3 linked regions of the Caenorhabditis elegans genome follow. The protein of the gene in region 2 interacts with the protein of the main gene of each other region in a pairwise test. Each region holds a gene or a part of one and is shown on either strand. Other genes may lie near its edges.

Region 1 (7,829 bases), on a different chromosome or scaffold from region 2:
GAAATTCAGTCAAAACTCTATATAACCAAATTTTTTCAAGGTTTTTAAAAAATCGAATATTTCAATTTGGGTTTTCCAATTTTTATATTTTTATTTTCCAGTTAGCTCCAAAAAAAAAAAGATTTCTTGAAAAAAATTTCAATAAAAAAGTTTTAACGAAACTGAGGTTTCACGTGGTGTCAGAGTGTCTCATATCGGTTTGATCTACGTTGATCTACAAAAAATGCAGGAGTTGAGACGCAGACTTCTCAACTTATTTCGCATGATTAAGAACGTGCTGACGTCACATTTTTTGGCCGAAAAATTCCCGCATCTTGTAGATCAAACCGTGATGGGATAGGCTGACACTACGTGAGGTTTTTAAAATTCAATTTTGCAATTGTCATATTTTCCAGCTTGTTCAAAAAATATTCAAAAAGTGAAAAAGTGATGCGAGGTTTTTTTTTTGGTTTTTAATAAACCCAGTTTATTAAAAAAATCTTATTTTTCTATTTTCGGGTTTTCAATTTTCCTTTTTTCATACTTTTCGAAATCTTAATTTTCTTTCTATTCGGGTTTTTTTTTAGAAAAAAAACATATTTTTCGGTTTTTTCAACTTTTAGATTTTCTGGAAAAAAATTCGACAAAAAGTTTGAATAGAAATTAGAGACAATTCTCCTCGTGGAGTACACACGAGCTGCGTAAATCGACAAAACACCGTCATTTCAAAAAGTGAAATTCTGAGCGCCACCAAAAATCCCCTTTTTTCTTTTTTGCAAAAACCCCGAAAATGTTAAAATTTTTCCAGATCAGTCGCCACCGCTACGTGCACCAACCACTTCCAGACACTCCAGAACGGTATTGGGATTTGACAATGGGACCACGAGATGAGGACAGCGGAAATCATGTACAAATGACACAGAGCCGACGATGGGAAGATATAGCAGAGAAAATGGAATGGCCGACTGGAATCAATACGTGGAATTAATTGAAACATATCACTTCTTATTTTATTTATTTTCATATGAATATGTGTATTTATTGATTTTTTAGCCAAAAAACCTCTGTGGCCTAGTTTTACAAATCCTAGGGCACATTCTCAAAATTAGCGAATATTTCAAAAAGAACGATTTCTCTGGAAAATCGCACAGTTGGTGTGCGCAATTTTCACAATTTCCTCGTGGCCGAGCTTTGAAATCTTAGGTCATGATTCATGATATTCTCCACTAGAACTCACAAACACATATTACTGGAACTGAGAATGCGTATTACACAACGTATTTGACGCGCAAAATATCTCGTAGCGAAAACTACAGTAATTCCTTTAATGACTACTGTAATGTCGATTTACGGGCTCAGCGATATTCAATTTTCTTTAGTTTTTTTTCAAATTGTTATTTTTCACCGATATATAAATTATTTCCGTAAATCAACACAACCGCTACAGTACACGTTTAAAGAAGTACTGTAGTTTTCGCTACGAGATATTTTGCGCGTTGATTGTAAAATCGAAACAAAAGAATAATAATAATTGCTCTGAAATTAGATTACTCCTGCTCAATTTCGTTGCTACATATTTTTATGGCTCTTTTTCTCTGGCTACTCCCCTCCTTCAGTCATAATTCCATGCTTTGTCGGCTCGACACGGCTCATTTTCACCAATTTTCTCGCTGAAATTTGAGTTTTTAGATTTTTATTCATGTTTTAGTTTTCAATTTTGAATTTGAATTCCAAAGCCACGCACATTTTTTTTGCAATTTTTTAGAGTTAAAATAGACATCTCGCAGAAAATTTGAATTACCCGCCAAAATTTGTTCACAAAAAATTTGAAATTCTGTTTTTTTTTTCAGAATGACCGGCGGAAATGAGCAGCGGGCCGGAACCGCCAAAGGACGACGTGGAGCACAAGACTGTGAGCACTTTTTCCATTTTTTTTTAACCCAAAGACCTTGAAATGACTTAAAAAATAACGAAAAAACAAAAATAATCACCTGGTATTTGCTAAAAATAGTTAAAAGTGTTCCTATTTTTGGAAAATCTGTCTGAAAAAATATGTTTTTTTTCTTCTTTTTTGAAACATTTTTAAACATTGGCAACGACACTCCAACATCCCGCAGCTGGCCGTTGCTGAAAAATTTCTAGGCCTCGAGTGACGTCACTACTGATCAGTCTCAGGCCACGTGAATTTCTAGGCCACCGATAGCGTCATTTCTTTTCCAATTGCGAGCACACCCAGGACAAATTTGAAATTCTCTTCCATTTGCGTTTACAAAGTTTTCTAGGCCATCGGTGACGTCATTACTCTTCCAATAACGGTTCTTCTGCTTTCTAGGCCACAAGTGACGTCATGGCATTGCCTATGCCATTTTCACTCTTCCATTAGAAGCTGTGGAGGTTTTTAGGCCATCTATGACGTCATATATATATATTTTTTTTTCCATTTTTCACAAATCCCAGTTACTTTTCACAAGCCGGATCGTCATTTACAAAACGAAATAAAAAAGAGGAAATCATGTTATTCATGTTTTTAGTTCCTCTTCATCACATGCACACTCGCTTCTCTTCCTCCCTCTATTTAGTATGTGCCACGTCTCTTTTAAGCCCCCGACAGCTACCCCTCCATTTTTTCCCTCTCGTTCCTCTTGACATTTTGCTTTTCGTTTCCGCTTTTTCTTTTTTGTCTCCTTTTTCTCGTGTCTTATGTTCTTGGAAGGAAGAAGAGAGAAGCTTTATAATCACCATGGTAACGGGGGTGCTCCGCGAGCTCCAAGAACAACGCAATTAGTGGAAATGAGAACAAGAGAAGGGGGCTTAGAAGCATCCTGAAATGTGTGTGGAAGAGGAATGACTTCATAAGTAATGCTGGCCTAGAAACCTTCAAAACCTCCCGTGAACGAGAGATGACGCCATGAATATCAGTGCTCGGAAACCTCACTTTCAGTGACCTAAGATTCTGCACGGCCACCATAATGACGTCACTAGAAGCCTATAAAATGCAAGTGGCCTAGAAACCGTCCAGGGTACGGCCAACAAAAAGTGGCTAAAAAGATTAATAGCATCATATTTAATAGATGCTATTTATATGATGACTGGCAACAAAAGAATGCCAATTTTCTCTCCAAAAGTAGCTCCAAAGTTCGGTGGCCTAGAAATCCATCTACGGCCGCCTACATGACGTCACTCATAGCCTAGAAACCACGGGCGACCAACAATTTTCGAAAAAATTGTGAGAAAAAAGTCGAAAATTCTCCGGAAATGTTTGCGAGAAGAAGTTCGGTGTTCAAAGACAATATTTGACCAGGTTCCTTTTTCTGCAATAAACAAACATTTTCCCTTTCCCTCTTGGGGAAAACGGGCGGCTCCAATCGGAAACGCGAACAATTTTTATTATGCTTGTCTATTCCTAGACGATTATTGGTTCCCACAAATGAATTTGAAATTATTGTGAAACTCTAGTTATTTTGCAATTGTTTTGTGCCAAGCTTCAGTAAAAGAAGTAGAATTTTATAGTTTTTTTTCTGTTTGAAAAATTCTCCCCATCAATGTTCTTTCAAATAAATACATCACTAATGCAAAGTATTCTATAACCTCATATCTAAATTCTTCAAAATCTTAACATATCTTATCATTGCTTTAAGTCAAACGTAACATTAAAAAAAATGTTTTGGAAAATGTGTCAAGTCTCTCAAAATTCAGTTTTTTAAACCACTCCTATAGTCCTATAGTCCTATAGTTACCCATGAAATCCTTATATATTACTGTAAAATGTTTCAAAAACCATTGGCAAATTGCCAGAACTGAAAATTTCCGGCAAATTGGGGAACCGGCAAATTGCCAATTTGCTGAATTTGCCGGAAAAACGGTAATTGCCGAAAGTTTTTGACACGAAAATGGCAAATTGTGGTTTTAAAATTTTTTTTTTTGGAAATTTCAGAATTTCAATTTTAATCGGCAAAACTGTAGGCATCCTAAGAATGTTCCTACATCTATTTTGAAAAGTAAGCGAATTCTATGAAAATGTCTAAAGAAAATGGGGAAACAATTTCAAAAAGGCACAGTTTCAAGTGTTTCCGAATTATACTAAATCCCTCTAAAAACTTCCGGCAAATTGATATCCGTAAAAGAGCAAATCCGCATTTTTGCCGAAAATTAAAATTTCCGACAAATCGGCAAACCGGCAATTTGGCGAAATTTGCCGGAAGGCAATTGCCGCCCACCCCTGTTCCAGAGGTTCAAACTGGTAGCAAAGCTCAAAATTTCTCAAATTCTCCAATTTTTTTTTGAATTTTGGCAGTGTACCAAAATGACATTCAGTCATATTGGTTTATTATAGATTTATTTAGATAAAATCCTAAATGATTCTACCTTTAAAGATGCCCACTTTAAAAGTAATGACTCAAACTTCAAATTGCTCTAAGATTCTATTGAATTACCATCTTTTCCTCTCATTTTCTCTCACTGTCTATTTCATCACAAATTCATCCCTCTCTCCCTCTCTTTCTCTCTCCCTCTCTCTCTTTCTCTTTGCTCATCATCTGTCATTTTGTCCGTTCCTCTCTCTGCGCCCTCAGCGTTCCCCACACTCTCTCGCTTCTCTTTTCCTAGACGTCTTCTTTTTTCATCTTCTTCAGCCCTTTTTCGCCATTTTCCATCTCTGTCAATCATTACGGACGACCCCCATTAATTTTTGGATGTGCTCTGCGAGCAAGAGCACACGGAACTCATTTATTTTTTGTTGGAATTTCTTTTTCATTTTAGTTAGTTAAAAGGTTATTCAGTGCAAAAATTGATTTTTTGCTCTTTTGGTACATTAGAGGGGTTTGAAAGTTTTCCATAAAAAGGGTTTCCGGAGTAAAAAATCTAAAAATTTTTACAAACATTTCCAAAAATTTTGGGAACATATCTTTTCAAAAACTCAAAAAAAAACGCAAACATCATAAATTTAATCAATTAATTGGATGCGTTCAAATATTTTAAAAATATTTTTGAATTGCATATTTCTTTACTCATAAAAAAATTATTAATGTTTAAGTAAAAAAAATATTTCAGGATTTTAAACAAAAACTGTAAATCCCATAAAACAGTGTTATTTTTTAGTTATTTTTAGTAATTATTTGTGAATTAAAAACACATTTTTTTTCAAAATATTCCTTGAATAAATAAAATTGAAAGTGAATTCAAAATATTTCACCAATTTTACAAAATTTGAAAATTTGAAAAAATATTTTCTACCAAATTGTGCTCAAAAAATATTATTAAGTTCCCAGGAAATTTATGATGAAAACTTGGAATATTTTTGGTAAAATTTTCTCAAAAAATTGAAAGTTGTCAAAAACACACTAACACTATACCTCGCGGCATAGAAAAAACTGGTGGCCGAATTTTTTAAACCAATTTAAATTAAATATATTTTTGCACTTTGTACAAAAAAATTTGAAGTTCCCAGGAAATTCATACGGAAATATTTTCCAGAACTTTTATAATTTTTATTTTAATTCTCAAAATTTACAATAAAAACTTGGAAACCTGAAATTTGCTTAAAGAATAACCCTATCCCCCACGGCCTAGAAAATACTGGTGGCCGAATTTTTTCCGCAGCCACACCACCTCTAATCTCCAGAGCACTCTCCAAAATTCCCATAATCCCCAAAATTTTCAGCTACAACAGCATATATGAAGGCAGAGCAACAACAACAATCGATCGCACCCGGCTCGGCAACCTTCCCGTCTCAGGTGAGGAAGACGCAGAGAAATGAGAGAGAGAGCGTGTTTATGCACGCAGTATACTAACTCCTGATATCCAATTTCATATATCGATATGCTTGCTTTCTTTTCTTCTACGTTGAAATTGTTTGAACTTTTCTCAAAAAACGCGGATTTTAGAGAGACTTAGAGTTGCTCCAAATAAATTTAATTTGCAATTTTGCACTTACTATTAGAATCTACTTTTATAGCGCTAAAATGACCGAATAACACAGTAGATTTTAAAAGAAAATTTTAAAAATTATTTTTTTGTGCAGTCAAATTTCGCTAGTTTTTGCCACTCATTTTTGAACATTTGTATATGTGCCTTTCGGTGGTTCAATCAGGGGTGGCACGTGGTGTCAGAGTGTTCCATTTCGGTTTGATCTACGTTGATCTACAAAAAATGCGGGAGAAGAGACGCAGAGTTCTCAACTGATTTCACATGGTTATGAACCAGGGGTGTTCGGCAAATTTGCCGTTTGCCGAGCTGGGCAAATTTTGAGATTTGCCGCACACCCCTTTTATGAACGTGCTGACGTCACATCTTTTTGGACAAAGAATTCCCGCATTTTTTGTATATCAAACCGTGATGGGACAGCCTGGCACCACGTGGGGTTGGCGGCAAATGATTTTTTCCGACAAATCGGCAAATTGGCAAATTGCCGGAATTTAAAGTTTCTGGCAAATTGTTGATTTGCCGAAAAAAAATTTCAAAAAGGCACAGTTTTAAGTGTTTCCGTCTTATAAAATATTTCTCTAAAAATTTCCGGAAAACGGAAAATTGCCGGAAATACAAAGTTTCGTCAAATCGGCAAACCTGCAATTTGCCGAACGGCAACTGCCGCCAACACCTGGTTCCCAAAAAAGCGTGCACTGTTTGAATATTAAAAAAAAAATTCACACAAAAATAATAAATTGAAATAGGCTAAATTCACATCTATGTACAAAAATTGCATGCCAGCACCGGTCAATTTTCTCAATTACTTTTTGTCTATTTTTGCCGAACATAATTTGCTGTTTCCTTGGCAGAATACAGAAAACTCTTTTTTTTTTCAGATGCCCCGACCCCCACCGGTAACCGAACAGGCTATAACCACCGAGGCGGAGCTTCTCGCGAAAAATCAAATTACACCAAATGATGTGCTAGCTCTTCCAGGAATCACTCAAGGTAAGTGAATATTTGCTCTATTGATAAACGCGCCGTGTACTCCACGTGGACAAACATATCAAATTTTCAGGATTCCTATGCTCCCCATCGGCAAACGTCTATAACATTGAGTTCACCAAATTCCAAATCCGTGACCTCGACACGGAACACGTGCTCTTCGAAATTGCAAAACCGGAAAATGAGACGGAAGAGAATCTGCAGGCGCAAGCCGAATCGGCAAGATATGTCCGATATCGATTTGCGCCGAATTTTCTGAAATTAAAGACGGTCGGCGCGACGGTCGAGTTCAAGGTCGGCGATGTGCCGATCACACATTTTCGAATGATTGAACGGCACTTTTTCAAGGATCGTTTATTGAAATGCTTTGATTTTGAATTTGGATTCTGTATGCCAAATTCGAGAAACAACTGTGAACATATCTATGAATTTCCACAACTTTCACAACAACTCAGTGAGTTTGAAGCGGGAAAAATTATTTGAGCTCATTTTGTCAATAGAGCGAATTTTCTAGGTTTTTAAAAATAAAATAAATATTGACAAAAAGCTGCCCTACAGTAGTTCAAAATGTGAAAACTTGGAGGAAATTCGAGTTTTCTCTGAGAAGTTTTTGGCGGGTAATTCAAATTTTCTGAGAAAAAAATTAGCCGCGAGAATTCAAATTTTCTGAGAAAATTATTTGACGGGAAATTCAAAATTTCTGGAAATGTATTGAACATTTGAGAAATTTTGTTAAAAACTACATTAAACCGATAAAAAAGTTCGCAAATTTTTTTTAAGTGCTCATGGTGCATCGAAGAGAAGAATTCTTGCCAAAACTAGCCCATGAAATTAAAAATTATCGCGGAAAAAAACTGACTAATTGGAAAGTAAAATGAAATTTGCAAAAAAAAAATATGTTTTTTTGTTGTAAAATTAAAAAAAAAACTGTATATTTTCA
Region 2 (4,530 bases):
TTTGTACTTGGCGGCGCAGATTTTTTGGAAGTTTAGACACTGCTCCAATGGGCTCACTTGAACATGGGTCTGGAATTTTCTCATTATTTTTATTTATAAACGGTAGTTATTATTTATTTAAATAAGGCTATAACACTCTATAACTCACTGAATTACTCGTCAATGTTGAATTATTGACTTCAATTTCTGGCAAGTTATATTTTCTACAGTGTCTTCTGAAAGTCTTGCAAGCATAATGTTTCTTGTACTTTTGACTACATTTTTTCTGCAGTTTCAAGCATTCGCCAGCGGTTTTTGGGTTTCGTGAGGTCTGAAAATTGTTCTTATAGGTAAACTATATTTAAAAATCTTAAAATGCAAAAATACTGAGAACGTTTGAGAACTTAAAAATTTTTATCATGGCTCAAAGTTGAACTTGCCTTTTTCAAAAATTTCAAGAGTTTTCTATAAAACTGGTCTATTAAGGCCAATTTTGAATCAATTTAAGTAATAACTTTACTCCAAAAAGCGAAATTACCTTTGATTTTCCCCTTTTCGAAATAGCCGCATCATATTCACAATTTTTCTCGAAAAAGTAGCAATGACCGTTGTACTTCTTTACGGCAAGGCAGTTTTTCTTCAAATCGTCACATTCAAATGAAACATCTTGCAGATCGGTTGTAGAGTTTCCCTAAAACAACGCAAAAATTACTTTTCTACTTTAATAAAAACTTACCACAGCGCCCAAAATGTTCACAATGGTCTCGTTTGATTTTAAGTGTCCACACCAAGATGGGCAGAGTCTTCCTTGAGATTCGTGGGTGGAATTTGAAGAATCGTCAAGGAGCAAAGCTTGAACTTTGTCTGGTTGGGAACAAGCCTCACATTGACATAGGTTAATATAGCAGGCCGAGTCAGAGAAGTAGAAGCAATAGTTGGCATCGCTGAAATATTTTTGTCAATAAATTTAGTCGAAACGTTAAAAGTACAATAATCTAAAACGGTATTTTCAGCCTCTCATTTAAAATTCCTGTTTATATTAATTCTTCGAATACATAACAGTAAGTAACAAAATGATGGTCCTCCAACACTTTCATTTAAAAAAAAAACTCACAGAATGTCGCAAATATCCGCCGTCTCCAAAACTCCAACAAAAGTCAGCGAAATAAACAAAACCACCAACCGTGATACCATCTTGTCAAAAAAGTTGAAAATAGAGATAGCGATATATTGTGTCTCCGCACCTGTCCTTGAAAAATAAAATTTCAAATTCGCAAACCTCCCCCTTATTCTGGCAAATGGATGAGAAGGGTGACCTACTTTTTCTACCGATATTGGAATTTTAGTAGCAGTTGAAAATGAGGAAAAGCGAACTGTAGGAGGAAAGTGAGAAAAAAAGAAGACGTATGGACATCAAGTGCACTTGAGATTTTAGGGCATTGGGAGGGAAACTGGATGAAATGGTTTGTTATTATTGACAAAATTATTTTATTAGATTCAGAAATGAATGGACATTTTCAAGTGATCATATGGTTTTGAAATTAGTTGGAACGAGTCTTACCAAAAACAAGATACGGTGCCAGAAATTATTCGCACTACTACGTTAATCATTTGTAAAACCTAATAATTTTGAAAAACTTGGTCAAGGTTGATTATCTAAAATGTCTATAGAAAATAGGTTATACGCAATGGAATGTGTACTTTTAAAAGTTTTATGTAGCCGGGAGCGAGAGTGGTCTCGATGACACGAAAAACAATTGCAGAGGGCGGGGGGCAATTTCGAATGCGTTGAGCTTTTTTCACATGATACTCATAACGCAAGGCTTACACTTGACCTATTGTTTAAATCGATGAAGACATATGCACACTAAAACGACTGCGGCAAAAAATTTGATATGAAACTTGATATTTGATTATTGAAATTTTTGAGTCTTTGTTTTTGCATTTTATGGTTTTTTTGTATGCAAAAATTATTGCAAGTTCAGCTGTTAGTAAATTTGTAGGCAATCAGGCAGGCACCAAGTTTTACTTTTTATTCAATTTTTTTGTCGACAAACTGGGCAAGTCTGCAAATTGTCGGTTTGCCGGTTTGCCGAAAATATTCGATTTGTCGGGGGTTTTTTATAAGACGAAACACTGTGCTTTTTTGAAGTTTTTTCCCCCATTTTCTTAAGATATTTTCATAGAATTCGTATATTTTTCAAAATTGATGTAGGAACATTCATAGGATGCGTGCAATTTTGTCAATTAAAATTGAAATTCTGAAATTTCCGAAAAAATACACAAAACCACAACTTTGAGCAACCTTTTTTTCAAATTCCTTTTTCCTCTCAAATTTTACATGCATCATAATATTCATCATTTGAGGAAATTTAAATATTCATACTTCATCAACATATTTCGAAATACTTTTAATCCCATTTCACCAACAATGGACTTGTACATTTTCTAATTTGCACTTCCCAAATCTATCCTAAAATCAGTTAATTGTAATGGAAACCTTCGAGAGCTCATCACGCGATTTTTCGCCACCGGCCACTTCATCTGACTCACAAACGTGCACACACAAAATGCGTGCTCAACATTTGAGCTCAGAAGCTAAGAGATGGGAGGAGCAGAGACGCACGAGCATGCACGTCTCTATGGTAACATACGGGAGCTAGAGAGTAAGCTTCTCTTCTCTCACTTGCAGACGTTGTCCTCATTCTCTCTCCTTCTCTCTCACACGTTTCCGGTTTTTCGTTCGAATTCTATTCTGGTATTCCTATCCCTTGACCTCTCACAAAAATGGGACTCATCGATGTTCTGAAATCATTCAAGTCACCCAGTGGCCGCGAAATCCGAATCCTTCTACTAGGACTCGACAACGCCGGTAAGACGACAATACTGAAGCAGCTGTCCTCTGAAGATGTTCAACACGTCACACCGACCAAGGGATTCAACGTGAAGACTGTCGCCGCTATGGGTGACATACGTCTAAACGTCTGGGACATCGGAGGTCAGCGATCGATTCGTCCGTATTGGTCCAACTACTACGAAAATATCGACACACTGATCTTCGTGATCGATAGTAATGACAAGAAGCGGTTCGACGAGATGAACATTGAGCTCGGCGAACTGCTTGACGAGGAGAAGCTTCGCAAGGTTCCGGTGCTCATATTTGCTAATAAACAGGATCTTGTCACAGCAGCGTCATCAGAGGAAATTACCAGAAAGTAAGTATTTTTCTTCAACAATAACAATTTATGGTTGTTAAAACGAATGACCTGGTTTGTCCTTTGCCTTCATACATAAAAAGCGAATGCCATTTCCCTCAAGGACTTTTTCTCTAATAAGCTAAACCTTCTTATATTAATAACACTGATAGAAATAGAAAATGTATTCATTCAGTTTTTTTTGAAAAGTTATCATCAGCTCACATCCAATTTCAAATTGCAATAAAAATGCATTGACAGCTTAATTCCTAAACTCCAAATTCTAATCTCCAAAATCACCTTCAGACTAAACCTGGACCTTCTCCGCGACCGCACTTGGCACATTCAAGCCTGCTCAGCGCTCAAAAACGAGGGCATCAACGACGGAATCACTTGGGTTGCTAGTAACCTGAAACCGGCTTCTAAAAAATAGATCATTGTATAATCCCACACAAAAAATCTTCCAGGGAGTATACAGTATTACCAGTGTTGCCCTAAGTTATCAATCGAGCGCAAGTGCTTCTCTCCCCACCATCTCTATCCATTTACAATATCTCTGTGGCAGTCTCTCATGCTTAGTATCTCCTTTTCCATGTTTTTTTCGTATATCAGTTAATAAATATCATACCACGTGGATTTATTAATAATTTTTTTAAATAGTGAATGTAATTGGCATTTATTTAAAAAAATTAAATTTCAGACACTCATCAGCTCACATCCAATTTCAGTGGAAACCTATAAGAAGGAAGTTGAAAATGTAAGGGTAGTACATAACTAAAGTGCCAATTAATTTCAATTTTGGATATTTCTAGGAAAACAAACCCCATCGAGTTTGGAAATTTTTTCTGAATTGTTTTTTAAAGAAAAAATAATTTTTTTTGAATTTTGTAAATGAAATTTTGGAAAATTATTAAAAGTACCTTAATCAACTATGGCTAACTGAACATTTTACTTGAACAATTTGAATCACCAAAATAACTGTTAGGAATAATTTTAAGTGCATCCAGAATTGTCCAGAGAATCAAAAATTCAGAGTTTTCTATCAAATCCAATTTATACCTCCACCACCCCAAACCAATTTTAACATTTAGGCCGTTGAGCTGCTCTACTCTGCTGATCATTTCCACTATTTCTTCACCGATCGAGACGGAACTTTGAAAAGTTATTCGTGCAGTTATCCGTCAAGTATTCAGCCAGCATATTCTGGAGTCATTCAGGTATGCAAATATGGAAAATTGGAGAATTTGTAGATATTATTTAAGTTTTAGAAAAAGGGTTCAAAAAAGTTTGCTCTGTTGCTCTCTGCTCTGTTACACTTTCGTAGTCATAATTTTAATTCTATACTAATATGTGATTA
Region 3 (3,868 bases), 7.4 Mb from region 2:
GACCAAAATGAACTGTCAAACACTAAAATTGAAGTCTGAAATAACATTTCAATATCACTTTGAATAATGAGATAATAACATATAAACTAGAAAGAAAAGCTAGTTAATTCTTAATTAACTTAAGAATTAATTAAGAATTAACTTTAAATTATTTTTTTCAAATAGTTAATGTTTCCAGGTGTTGCCTATCTTCTCTATGGTTTCCAATCTTGTTTCAACCTTCCCATCTTTTACTTTTTCCGTCTCGAATTCCGTCGCCGGTGCCACGAACTTCTCCGTTTCCGTCGTAACGGGACAAACACAATTGTGGTAAGATTGATGCATGTCCTTTCATTTTTCAATTATTTTCAGTTCTTCCTATTTTTCAGTCGAACGACATGAGTCGCCAGAAGCTATCACGTGTCAATGCTTCATTTGTGAACACTGCAATCTAAATGTATTTTTGGGACAATTTTCCTGAGCTATTCAATTTGTAAAATATATTCATATGTACATAGATGAATAAATAAATCCGTTGAAGATTTTCATTCTGAAATTGAATATTAAAATTAGGTATGTATTGTTTTAGGAATTAAAAAAGAGAGATCCATGGAGAAACAGGGAAGGATTAGAAGGGAAAAATGGATATGAATGTATATGTATTAGTCGTAATAAAGACGGACTCGAGACGTGCTTACAAGAAGATCTCCATCATAGAATAAAGTCTCGACGACGACGTTTCCGCTGAAAAATTGAGATTGTATTTTCAATCGTTCGAAATGTCAAGGCCTCGAACACAATTTAATGTTATTTTTATAGTAGGATTAAGTAGTTATATATAAGATGGTGTGCAGCATCTCCTGTGGTACGAAAATTACATACCATAAAGAATACTAAAACGTTTCAAAACTCAAAAAAAAAACTATCGGTAATTACTCAGTTTTCACCAGTACAAATATTGAAAGTCTGTTTTAATTTTTATAAAAAACACTGTATTGGTAAAATCCTACAGCAATGTTTGAAATTACTCAAAAACCCAATTTTTGAATTTTTGCCAATTTACCAAAACGCTGACTGATATAAAAAATGTTTGATTACGATACTCGGTCATGTTTACCTAATAACTATTAAGGTTTGCATGTTTCTGTTTCTAGTATCTTGAAGTGAAGCTTTGAAGCTTAGAAATCTAGTACTTTTGCACTTGTTTTACTTACCTGAGTACAGATGGTGGGAACATTTGTGATTCTGGAGCTGCCTCAATCATATTTTGCCACGTGTTTGTTGAATCAGGAATGACAAATCCAAAATCGAAATACCACTCTGAAGTCGGAATACATAATTAGTTTTCATCACCAGAAGCCAATATTATTCATCCATTGCGTGCAATAACATAATGAATATTCGAGTGATTCTATCTTACCTTCAATGATGGTTCCCTTCAAATAAACGCGTTGCTCGAGTCGAAATTTTTCGATTTTGACTGATGAAGTGAAGTTGATCTCACGAGACACCGTACGACATTTTAGAAGATTCTTTGGCACGTGTGCTGCAATCCATTAGTTTTTATTTGTTGGCTTCAAGCAATTCTATTTTTGTAGGAAAAACGCATTGCATTAGAGACCAGCGGTAAAAGACATGTGAAGGCTTAACTACACGCTCAGTGTTGCTTGCTAGCTGTGGCAGAATGGCGCAGTGGATGTGCGCGCGCATTGGGGGGAGACGCTCTCGCGTTCGTTCCCTCGTGTTGTCAGTGACGATATTACTTACCGCCCCAGGCATAGTGTTTGTGATGATTGGTTTATTCCGAGACTTTTTTTGAAATTCTTATTACCTTTGTGTTCCCTTTTTGGGTCAGCCATGTCTTCTGTGCTCTGCCAGAGAACTTTTCCAGTTTCTGCATCACGCAAGTTCATCCAGTTGAGCTTGAAGCCAGCCAGAATGCTCTCTGCCTTTTCGCTCAATTTAGAATCTTGATGACGAGTAGCGGTAGTGGCCATGACTGGAGCTCTACTCTCTGAAGAAAGTGATGTTTTGAGGAAATGACGACAGACCGAGGCACAAGAAAGAGGAACCGGTCATCTTAGGAACAAGGAAAAGTCAATATTGACGAAAAGTGACGATTGCCGGAAAAAGAGCATAAAAAATGAGTGTTCCCGAAGAGTGGTCATTATGAAAAAAAGAACACGTGGAGATCATTGAATTCATAAAGGAAGTCGTGTTATAAGTGGCACTTACATTTTATGAAAAAGGGAAGAGAATAAGAGAAGTAACTCGTATTCATACAATTATATATTACTGCTTATATATTTCTTTTCGTAATTCGACGGTTCTGTGGTTTGAGCAGGATGGGATTAGGTGATAATTTAGAGAAATATCATATTATTTCAATAATTCCCTAGATAAAGCTATGACTAGTAAGTCGGGCACTTATAACGCAGAAATTGCAATAGAAAATTTTCTTCAGAAAATCTACATAAATAGTCGATTGTAGTGTTTAAACAGAAAATGTATTTTTAAAAAAATATTATTTGAACTTATTTGTAATTCTGAAAATTTTGTATCGTTTAGATAACCTACAAATTGAAAGTAGGAATTGAAACAAACAGAACAAAAAAATATGTGCAAATTTTTGCATGTAATTAAAATTTCCAAACAATTTTGGTGTGTATGAAAGAAAGCAAATAAATAAATTTAAAAAGTCGACCAAAACATATTCAATTTCAAGAGGCAAGACGAGGTGAGATGATGTGATAGAAAAGGCGTGAAAAAGTTTTTACGAAATTTTAGAGGAAGCGCAGTCTCTGGCACAATGTTTTCACGGCCTTCTCGTTGCTCCCAGCTCAACCCCGACTGCGGTGGACGGAGAAAGCTCCAAATTAACCGAAAAGAGCGCGTCGTTGGGATGAGAGAAATAGAGAAATATGCGAAAGAAGTGAAGATGGCAGAAAGGAGAAAAAGAGACACAGGGAAAGGCTCTATTGAGTTGAAGAAGAAGAAGAAGAAGAAGAAGAAGGAAAATTGTGAAAAAAAAAGGAAAAAGAAGACGAAAATGACGGAAATGGAGAGAAAAAGGAAGAAGGATTTTAAGACGATCGGAGGGAAATGAGAAAAGTCTGAATGTTAAAACGGTGAGCTAGATGAGGGAACGAATGTAGGCGGAGTCATGGAGTCACTTGAATTGTTAAGTATATTCACGAGGTGGCTGATGAACAGGGTTTAAGACTTTGAGAACATTTTTGTTTGGAAAATGTGGGCATTTTATTGCAAAATCACAACAGCAGGAAAAAAGAAAATTATTTTTGATGTAAGGTGTGCCTTTTATAACCCTTGAAGTTATATACTGTTATTTACATGAACTTCCAAGTGATTCACACACACAACAAATGCAGTTACAAGTGCAGTGCATATTCAGTTTACATCGAACATTTTCTAACATTTTCTAGGTTAAAAAAAAAGAATTTGAAGTTCGAGTTCGAGCAAATCGAAAGGTTCTATGTTTCTTCTATACATATTTAAGTCTAATTTTTTAACTCCTGAAGTTTCTGCCTCGGGTTTTTGAGTTTTACCGAAAATAAGACTGTGCAATACATCGTCTGTGAAGATGGGAAAAGCTTTCAATCAAAACTACAGAAAACATTTACAAAATACAAGCTCCAAGTGACAAAACAAGCATTCAAACATTGAAAGTTGTTTGCTTAACAAAATACTTTTCAATGTTATCTTTAGATTTTTCTACCTCTCTCTTCAAAAATAGTATACTTTCAAAATACAAAGGGCAACAATTGCATCGAAATCAAATTTTTGTAGCAAGTTAAAAATTCTATAAAAATACTGTTAATTATTCTCTGAGATCTTGATTCGTGTTTAAAACTTTGGTCATACACAGTCA

What was found. Proteins that work in one complex are often made in the same cells at the same time.
Region 1: the proteins of arl-3 (region 2) and unc-119 interact in binary tests that used the Caenorhabditis elegans proteins (3 or more experiments, as listed by UniProt).
Region 3: the proteins of arl-3 (region 2) and pdl-1 interact in binary tests that used the Caenorhabditis elegans proteins (3 or more experiments, as listed by UniProt).

What each region holds. Positions count from the first base shown.
Region 1 is NC_003281.10:10,900,818-10,908,646, forward strand, and holds the start of unc-119 (Protein unc-119), read left to right. Parts: upstream 1-1,823; 5' UTR 1,824-1,830; coding exon 1,831-1,891; intron 1,892-5,638; coding exon 5,639-5,712; intron 5,713-6,780; coding exon 6,781-6,892; intron 6,893-6,962; coding exon 6,963-7,343; intron 7,344-7,829. Other genes in the region: com-1 (DNA endonuclease activator Ctp1 C-terminal domain-containing protein), read left to right, coding at 788-967. UniProt on the Caenorhabditis elegans protein: Myristoyl-binding protein that acts as a cargo adapter: specifically binds the myristoyl moiety of a subset of N-terminally myristoylated proteins and is required for their localization. Plays a key role in ciliary membrane localization of proteins.
Region 2 is NC_003280.10:14,604,446-14,608,975, forward strand, and holds arl-3 (ADP-ribosylation factor-like protein 3), read left to right. Parts: upstream 1-2,026; 5' UTR 2,027-2,766; coding exon 2,767-3,194; intron 3,195-3,479; coding exon 3,480-3,606; 3' UTR 3,607-3,873; downstream 3,874-4,530. Other genes in the region: tps-2 (Alpha,alpha-trehalose-phosphate synthase [UDP-forming] 2), read left to right, coding at 3,874-3,930, 4,265-4,390; pugs-2 (ShKT domain-containing protein), read right to left, coding at 1-69, 149-310, 518-670, 716-923, 1,094-1,173. UniProt on the Caenorhabditis elegans protein: GTP-binding protein that may be involved in protein trafficking; may modulate vesicle budding and uncoating within the Golgi apparatus.
Region 3 is NC_003280.10:7,181,933-7,185,800, reverse strand, and holds pdl-1 (Phosphodiesterase delta-like protein), read right to left. Parts: upstream 2,001-3,868; 5' UTR 1,977-2,000; coding exon 1,811-1,976; intron 1,792-1,810; exon of another isoform or gene 1,723-1,791; intron 1,526-1,722; coding exon 1,400-1,525; intron 1,383-1,399; exon of another isoform or gene 1,309-1,382; intron 1,300-1,308; coding exon 1,194-1,299; intron 724-1,193; coding exon 642-723; 3' UTR 507-641; downstream 1-506. Other genes in the region: C27H5.6 (G_PROTEIN_RECEP_F1_2 domain-containing protein), read left to right, coding at 179-309, 369-434.